2 linked regions of the Oryzias latipes genome follow. The protein of the gene in region 2 interacts with the protein of the main gene of each other region in a biochemical or structural test. Links are inferred from orthologs where the notes say so. Each region holds a gene or a part of one and is shown on either strand. Other genes may lie near its edges.

Region 1 (4,389 bases), on a different chromosome or scaffold from region 2:
TCCCTCAGTTCCTGATGCCCGTACGCATCGGCAAACATGAAGACTCCTATGCAGTTCTGAGGGTCGAGCCGGCTGACCATGAACTGGGCACATTGATCCTGCAAAGCGGGGATCTGGAAAATGCTGGCTGCAGTGAACAGGGCTTGGACGTTGGACTCAGAGAGCGTGACTCTGGATGTGTAGGCATAGTCTAGAACAAGGTGCATGGATTCCGATTCCACCCCAACAATTCTGACTTCACGCCGACTGCTCTCTGTAAGGCCACTGGTGAACATGGACCTAAAAATGGGAGAGAATAAAATAAAAGTTGAGGTTACAATGCCATTGCTACCCTTTATCTATGAATTTTCAAAAAGAAAGACAGAAAAATGCATGTTGGGAATAATTATTTTGTCAACTACTTTGTAAAAGAAAACTTCTGTTGCTTTTATTTGACATGGTTTTACCTAAAATATGGGCTGATTGCAGCAAGAACATTCCGGTGGCACGAGAAAGTCTTGCCATGGTCCACTTCCACAACAATATCTGTGAGCTGTGCTTCATCATACAAGGCTTTGAGCTGCTGAAGAATGTTGCAGGCGTGCACAGCATCTACCCCGTTGAAGTTGGTGGTAGGAGGTGTCCCATTTTGTACTTGTAACAGCTTCCCTACCTCTGCAAATGAAAGAGGTTAAAAAAGCAATGTCACATGCTTTGTGATGTAGTTTCCACCATAAATACACTTTCTAAAAAATTTCACAAAACAACTTGTGGTCCCACAGTCCCTTATTGTGCGATCACCCATAATGTGATTTTATTTTTTGTTGACTATGATTTTGATGCGAGATATTGCTTTCTAGTAAGACCTGCAGGGAAGCAAAACCCCATACACACAGGTTAGAGCTAGGTCATCTATGTTGCACAGAGGTACAAACAAAGGGTCCATCCTGAATGTCTTCAAGAGCTCCTTCTAAAACACAGATCACAGCACAAGTTCTTAAAAGTGACCGTGTGAAGTAACAATGGATCAACAGGGAAACGCAAACACCGATTGATCTTCACACAGTTAGCCTGTTTTGATTTAGACTGTGCAGGGTAAGGTAGGGCTTACGATTGGATCTGCTGTCACAGAACACATGAGGCTGAAATTTGTGTTTCAGGGTGCAAATGCTCCAATTTAAAATAAAATCATTAACATCATCTTTTTTTTAAAATACATTATGGCAAAAATAAAAGTGTCTATTCACACGTAATTTTTCGAAATATGTGCGGCCAGCCCTGTACTTGTTTCTTGGCCGCACGGACCTAGAGAAAGGGTTAAGGTTAGGATTAGCGTTGGGTTAAACCACCAAATAGTTTCTGAGCGCGTCTGTTTCTGCATCTCACCGCTCCTCCAGGGGATAAACCAAATGCGGAGAACACATTTCACACACCTTGGTGTGTGACAGATGATAGGACTTTAACTTCAAGTCTAACTTTAAATACGTGTGGCCAACAACAAAATGCAACCTTGGACGCACTTAAAATACATGTGGACAATGCAGCAATGTGCATCTTAAGATGAATTTTAATCACTTTTTGTGCTGGTGGTGGCACGTAAATATCTGCAAATAACATCAGCCAAAATAAAATCAACTTGTATAGGTTAATCAGCATAAAACAATTGTTTTTTTAGAAAAAGAAAACAAAAGGATGGCATGTTAAATCTTTGCCCTCTTTAATCTTAACTGTTGAAATTATAACTGTCCTCATCAAGTCTTGTGTTTATGTTTTTTTTACAGATTTACTGAAAAAAAAGCAAGAACCTCTGTGCTCTAAGTACAATAACTTTTTAATGCTGTTGATTCTCATTACTGGTTGTTTTGCCTCAGAAAAATTAAATAACGTAAAATTTGTATTACTTCTGTGATATAAATGACTGTTGTGATGACGTTACCTTGTGACTTTAAATTATTAGATTGTCAGTCTGGTTTCACGACTGCTTACGTATTTTTCTGCCCCTGCCCCCCAAAAAAACAACTGCAAAGTTAGCAGGGCAAACACTGCGTGTGTTGAGAGAATTTGTATGTTTGTCATCACAACATTTGGATTATTACAGTGCGGTTTTTTTGGCTCTGTTTTCACGATCGTTAATAGGACACTGTTATTTTCAACAAAAACCTCGTCGTGTTGAGAAACGCCTTTTTCCTTGACAGGACAAAGACTCTTAGTGGATGAATAGAAGACTGTCTCACCAGGTGGTAGCTAGCTTGCTAAATTCACCGACCGAAGCTTCTTGCGGTTGCTGACCGACTGCCGGCAAAAACTACATTTGACCATCCGCGTGACTTTACAAGGATTTTATTATGTATAATCTAAGTTTATGTACATATTTAAACGATTGAGATTGGCTGCTATACTAGTAGATAAAAGACTGGCGAGCTTAACTTTTAGCAGACAGCTATGTATGTTGCAAGCTAATATTAGCAAGCATTACTTAGAACATAGCGAGCTAAAGGGGTAATTACATGTAAAGTAGTAACTTATAGATATATAGAAACATGCAACACAACTTATTTTGAAATAGTTTATTGTACTGTATCTTCTATTGAACTTGTCTATTCTCTGTCTCTTGTCACAAACAAGTGTTTACACAATCAGCTGAGAGCAGCGAGCTAACCTGCCGAAAGTTAGCAGGAGAGTTAGCATTAGCAACCTAGCAAGTCTGGCGAGAACCGATAGTTTTGAGTGGCTGATCCGACTGAGACTTCTTCTAACTACAGCAAAACACGCCTTCATGTTCGGCTAATCTGTTATCTTCCGTTTCAATACATCCCCAAAACGCAACTGGCAAATTTCAAAGGCATTATTTGTTAGTCGTTAAAACACAAAACAATGAAGACTTTGCTAACCTCCACTGGCAGCCATTCTCTCCAGTCTGTTTCGGGGCAGACCGAGAAACGTCAGGGTGAACACACAGGAGCCCCGGAAACAAGAAGCAACCAATCAGCGTCTAAGAGATGACACTCGAAGCCAATCACAATTCGATTCTCTGATGAGACTAAGAAAAAATAGTAAATTCTTCCAGCAACACAATTAATGAATCAACCTGCTTAGTCAGTTAAAGCAGGAATTCCCTAACAAGTGGAATTAGATTTTAGGGTGGTCTGCAGAAGCAAAAGGCTTAAAGGAAACCCTTTAGTGTCAGTACTGTGCTAAATGCAGATTTTACATTATTTGACTTTAGGCTTTATTTCTTTGTTTAATTTCTAACAATAATTTAAGTAAATTCACAAATATATTGTAACGATGAGTCTTAGGGGCTGAAGGGCTAACCCCCAGGTCGCCACAATATACTAATTTATTATTATTATGAGTTGGATTGTCTTTAATAAATCTAATCTGTTTTTTGTTCTCTTACGAGTAAAATAAGAAAGTCTAAATCTATCTAAAGTGAATTTTCACTAGAGTCTCAATAGATTAAGGAAAACATTTTTTATTCAGTAAAATGTTTTGCTCTTTTAAAATCATTACCAAAATATTGTCTTTAGCAAAAAAAACAACATTCTATAAAATGAAACAGGCTATTATTAAAGAGAAAACCTAAATTTACATTACTTTTCTTATTTCATTACATTCTTTTGGGTTCTCTTTTGTGATTCTAAAATACATTGAAAAAACTACAAATAAAAAGCATATAACTTGCTTTATAAAACTTTGGGAGACAAATGAATCCAGAAGGGTCTAAAATGGCAGTTATGTGGTTGAGGTTTTTTTTCCAAGAAACACTTTGGTTAAAATTATTTCCTGTGATTACATGAACAGATTTGTCTCAAATCATGGTCAGGAAATTTGTAGAGGCTATCCAAAGAACTTTTCTTTATTTTATAGAGCATCAAAGTCCTGCGTGTTGTTCATACATTTTGTATTTCTAATGGAGCATTGTGTCACGCTGTTCCCTGGGGTTTTTGCTGTACTATCATTGATAGCTACTTTGCCGAAGGGCAATGTCCACTTTTGTGTGTTTGTTGGGGGCTCACATGTGACTGTAGAGAACAAATGGGTTTGTTGTTTCTATTCCTTAATGCTAAAAACCCCCACATGTGCTCTGACTGCACTCCACCACCATGCCTAACAGTTGATACAACGCAGGAGTACTGTGATCTTTGTTGTCCAACATCTTCATTTGTGGTGTGTTTGATCAAGTCATATGTTTTGATAAAAGTGACATCCTAAAACATGGCACAATGCTGCTTTTCGAGAGAATTATAATGCTTCCCTAACAAACTAGTCTGTTAGGACCACAGTCACTGACTCTGTAGAGATGAAATCTTCTGTATTCGTTATTAATGAGTTTATTCAGTGGTATTTCTCAGATAAGTACTTTGTATTATCTGCAAAAAATATTTTTTTTTTTAATCACAGATGAAT
Region 2 (4,422 bases):
CCCCTATAATGATACTTCCCCTTCTTGGATTGGAAGAGTATTAAGAAAGTTATGCCACTTTGAAGACTCTCGGCACAGTAATGGAGCTGTTTTTTATGTTAATTCAGGAATACAACATGTGATAACTTTCTTCATTTCTGTCCTACATCCCTTGCGCTATATTGTGGGGTCCAGATGACCCCACTCCCAACATTAACGTGCCTCCAAGGGACGTTAACGTTGGGAGTTGGGTCATCTAGACCCACTAGACAGTGCGCTGAACCTTTTTTTATTCAATGATTTTTGATCTTCACTGGTGTCCATGGATTACATGAAATCTTCTCCACCTTTATCATGGTAGGGAGAACACGTCAATGTAAGGGTGGGGTCATCTGGACCCCACAAGCACAAGGGCTAAGAATCTTCTTTATATCACTGGAAAGGTTCCTCGAAGCTTTTTCCACTAATCTGTATAGTAGATCTAAGTTTCTAAAGGTTTGGAGCTTACAGGAAGTCCGGAAGAACCCCTCAGCCCGTCCAGTGCAGCTACTGCGGGGCCCCGCAGCAGGTGGTGGTGCTGGTGGACACCTGCTCATCCTTCTTCAGCACAGTGGGCCTCACCACGTCCACGTCACGGTGCAGGTGATCCAACAACCCATTGAGGATGCTGGGAGCTGCGTAAAAGTCGACTAGAAAGTAGGAGCCTCGGGAGTGCCTCTGGTTGTGTTTGGTCATCTTGTAGGGCAGGAGTCTTTCTCCCAGGTTCTCCAGGTCTCTCACCACGGCGCCGCGCTCCATCAGAGTCTCCACGGTTCGCCGCAGAGCCGCCGCCGTCTCAGGCCGCTGCATCGCTTTCAGGATCAGGGCGAGCTCGTAGCGAGGCATCGCTTCTGCAGGGTAATCCGCCTGGCTCGAATTTTAGTCCAGCTAAATCAGAAATAATGTAATCCCCATAGAATTCTGGTCACAGACCACCATGTTATGACATGAGGGACAGCAGACAAGGTCGTATGGAAATGACGTCAATATTGTGCGCCACCTCGTACGCAATTTTAAATAAAATAAAACAATGTTAGACTGGATTAATTTAGCCTTTTAAAATGATATAATTCTTTTCATTTAAATATAATAGTAAATTTAAAAAAAACTGACATTTCAAATAAAAAAGTCTAGTTTAAAAATACTTTATATACAGAGCTCCCACTCAGTCCCGGCTTTTAGGAATCTACATTTTTCTATTTTCCCCGAATGGTTAGTTGTATAAATATATATGACTCCTTATAAATTGTTTTTAGAAAATAAAATTGAAAAATATCAGCAACGATCAAATATTATCAAAACATTAGACTTTTTCTCGGTTTTGATAATTCAAGTCGAAGTTGATCATCTCTTTTTCAAGACTCGCGTCTTCGCGAAGCGCATGCGCAATTGGAAGTAGGATTCTTTTTTTCCAGAAGGAGCGTGGTGAAGATGGCGGCGCAGGGCTCAGTGCCCAGTGATCTTTATAAATGCGTTTATTCTTTTCTTTTGGAGAATAAGTTCACCAAAGCGGCGCAGCAGTTCCTGAAACAGACTAAAGTCGTAAGTAGCTCAGGTGTCTGCCTGTTGGTGCTGTCTACTTCTTGGTACTTACTGAGACTGCGCAGTGCCGGTAAAGAGAAAAAATAGCACGTGTTGAGTCGCCAGCACTCACATGTTCGCGATTCTGCGCGTTTTTCATGGCAACAACCGACAGTAGTAACGCTTGAATTGTGTTTTTCAGTCAATCTTTTTCTACTTTTCTCCTTTACAGAACCCTCTGGACAAAAATGAGGAGAGTCTAGAAAATATTTACAACTTCTGGGTCAAGTAAGTTTTGGAATGATATGCCGGACACTTAACCAATAATAATAATTTAAGGTTTAATCATAGCAAACCTTTTCTGAAATATTAAATTATTAAAGGTAATGGAATTTATACATATGACAAGAAAATGCAAACATTTTACAGTAAATTGACTGTAATTGCCTCACTTGTACTAAGAAATTGAGGAGGAAAACATTTTTTTTGGCCTTCAGTGTTTTTTTTTAAGGTCCCCCCCCCCCTGTTCTCTGATTCAAATGTGTCCCAGCAGGTTTTCATCAGTCTAGTTGTACTGACAGTCTTTTCATGGTTTTCCAGCTCATAAGTTCTCTAAATACAACCAGAACCCTTAAAATAAAACATCCCCCCCCAAAAAGTTGATCAGCGATTAATTAGCTGTAATTAAAAATCCATTCATTATTGCTTCATATTTTAATTGAAAGTCTAACTTTGAGGCATGTTGAATGTTGTTTTCTTGCAGCCGGTCGGAGCAAAACGTAAAATAACAGACTCCTGTTGAACTTAACAGCAACCACAAAAGAAGAAAATTTAAAAAAGGGAACAAAACCTCCCAAAAAAACAGGACTAGGGGTTCTGGGATAACATATTACTATGACCAAAGGTGGAAATAGTTTTACTTTTCATGAATTTAGGTGAGGTGAAATGTAGGCAAATCATCTTATGACTCATATTGTTTACAAAAAAAATAACAATTTTCCTACAAATAGAATATTTTCCAAGTATTAATAAAACGTAAAAAAGGAAGTCAAGTAATGTTTCACCTGAAATTACATTAATTAATTAAAGCCTAAAAGCTTCAGCTGTTTTTCTAATTGTGTTGGGCAACAGTAAAAAATCCTCCCAAAGGCGTAAATATGCATTCATAAAACAAACGATGTATTGTTTTTATATTTATATCTAAAAAAACATAGTTGTTTTCATTCTTGCCTCAGCTTTTCAGTGCCGCTTTATGTCAGATTCAAAGACCAAAAAAAAAACAATAGACAAACATGAATACATGAACTATTAAGTGGAAAGCAAGGATGTGTAATAAAAACGTCAAGAGTTTATGAAAAATATAAGAATAAAGCCTTATTATTAGCACAGCGGCGTACTTAACCCAGTCTGTGTGGGATTGTCCAATCAGCTGTGGGGCAGAGCTCCTTGCTGCCTGCGCTGTAATTGAACAAGAAATATGCAAAATACAGAGAAAGCGAACGTCAATAAGGAACGAAAAACCGCAGAAACTCTCCAAAATGATGTCCGTCTGCCTAAAGCAGTTTCTGCCTGCAGAATCGGAACCAAAACCGCGTTATTGGGCTGAAAACCACCCGATCTGGCAACGCTGTCAGCTGGAGGCTTCTCCTTATTCTGCTGTTCCACTGTCACCTCCTGTTTACTGAAAGTGCTTCCATGTCATCCATCTGTCACTTTATTCAAACGTAGCAGAGATGAGGAAGGAACGATGCACGAATGCGTTTATGGCAGTCGTATATAACGAGGCAAAGCTTGGTTAGTGCTTCATAAATCAACTGAATTGACCGTAATTGCCCTGTAAAGGTCACCTGACGCCAAAAAACGGAAACTGCCTCCGACTGAGCCAAACGGTCCGGCTGCCAAGAAGGCAAAAAGCGCAGCAGAAAGCTCCAGCAGTGAAGAGTCGAGCAGCGACGATGAAGATGAAGCACAGCGGAGCAAAACGGCTGCAGGTACTGCAAGAAGAAGCTGAAGCTTTCCCGCCCGTCTCAGGTTTCTTCATGTTTAGTTTTCATTTCAGCCGTCAAAGCTGTGCCGGCTAAAGCTGTGCCGGGCAAAGCTACCAAAGCTGCATCAAGCAGCAGTGAAGACTCCAGTGACTCTGAGGAGGAAAAGGCTCCTGCAAAGGTCAGAGGAACTCACTCATTCAACCTTCCAGCTAGATTTTCACACATTTCGTTCATGTTTGGGTTTTGTAATTCACACAGGCGCCTTTGAAAGCAGCACCTGTGGCTGCAGCTGCAGGCCGGAAGAAGGACAGCAGCTCCAGCAGCGAAGACTCCGACTCTGAAGACGAAGCGCCAGCCAAAGCTCCAGCGCCAAGTTAGTCCCCAACGCTGTGATTGACGTGCTTATCATAAGTCAGGAGGAGTATTTATTCATAAACCTGGTTCGTGTCCAAACGACAGAAGCAGGTCCGGGTGCTGTGACCAAACCCAAAGCTGCCCAGAAGAAGCAGGAGAGCAGCAGCGAAGACTCCTCTGACTCTGAAGAGGAGCCGCCGCCGAAACCCAAGACTGCGGCAAAACCAGCCCCCCCGAAGAAGGCCGCGGCCGCCGCTGAATCCAGCAGCGAGGACTCTTCCTCAGAGGACGAAGCTCCTCCCACTAGAAAGCCTAAAGCAGGTGTGTTATGCTGAGGTTTTGCTGTTTTCACCTCTTCTTCCTAAACTGTTGGGAGTCTTCCGGATTGGAGGGAAGCTGATGACCTCCAACAGTCCGTCCTGTTTGTTTGGACCCCCTCCCCTGCAGGTTCTGACCAAACGCAAGGCTCGGGGCTCGATCCGGACCAAATTAATTAAAAATGAAGCAAACTGGGTCTGGACCGGTGGGCTCTTCCGGCCTG

Evidence for each region.
Region 1: the proteins of nucleolar and coiled-body phosphoprotein 1 (region 2) and kbtbd8 form a complex in vitro, tested with the Homo sapiens proteins (2 studies listed by BioGRID). The link is inferred for Oryzias latipes from reciprocal best matches to the Homo sapiens genes NOLC1 and KBTBD8.

The regions. Positions count from the first base shown.
Region 1 is NC_019863.2:16,109,731-16,114,119, forward strand, and holds the start of kbtbd8 (kelch repeat and BTB domain-containing protein 8), read right to left. Parts: upstream 2,983-4,389; 5' UTR 2,887-2,982; coding exon 2,871-2,886; intron 655-2,870; coding exon 447-654; intron 280-446; coding exon 1-279. UniProt on the Homo sapiens protein: Substrate-specific adapter of a BCR (BTB-CUL3-RBX1) E3 ubiquitin ligase complex that acts as a regulator of neural crest specification.
Region 2 is NC_019873.2:26,609,760-26,614,181, reverse strand, and holds the start of nucleolar and coiled-body phosphoprotein 1, read left to right. Parts: upstream 1-1,412; 5' UTR 1,413-1,449; coding exon 1,450-1,560; intron 1,561-1,771; coding exon 1,772-1,827; intron 1,828-3,381; coding exon 3,382-3,530; intron 3,531-3,598; coding exon 3,599-3,705; intron 3,706-3,785; coding exon 3,786-3,900; intron 3,901-3,986; coding exon 3,987-4,202; intron 4,203-4,422. Other genes in the region: mrps6 (28S ribosomal protein S6, mitochondrial), read right to left, coding at 526-864. UniProt on the Homo sapiens protein: Nucleolar protein that acts as a regulator of RNA polymerase I by connecting RNA polymerase I with enzymes responsible for ribosomal processing and modification.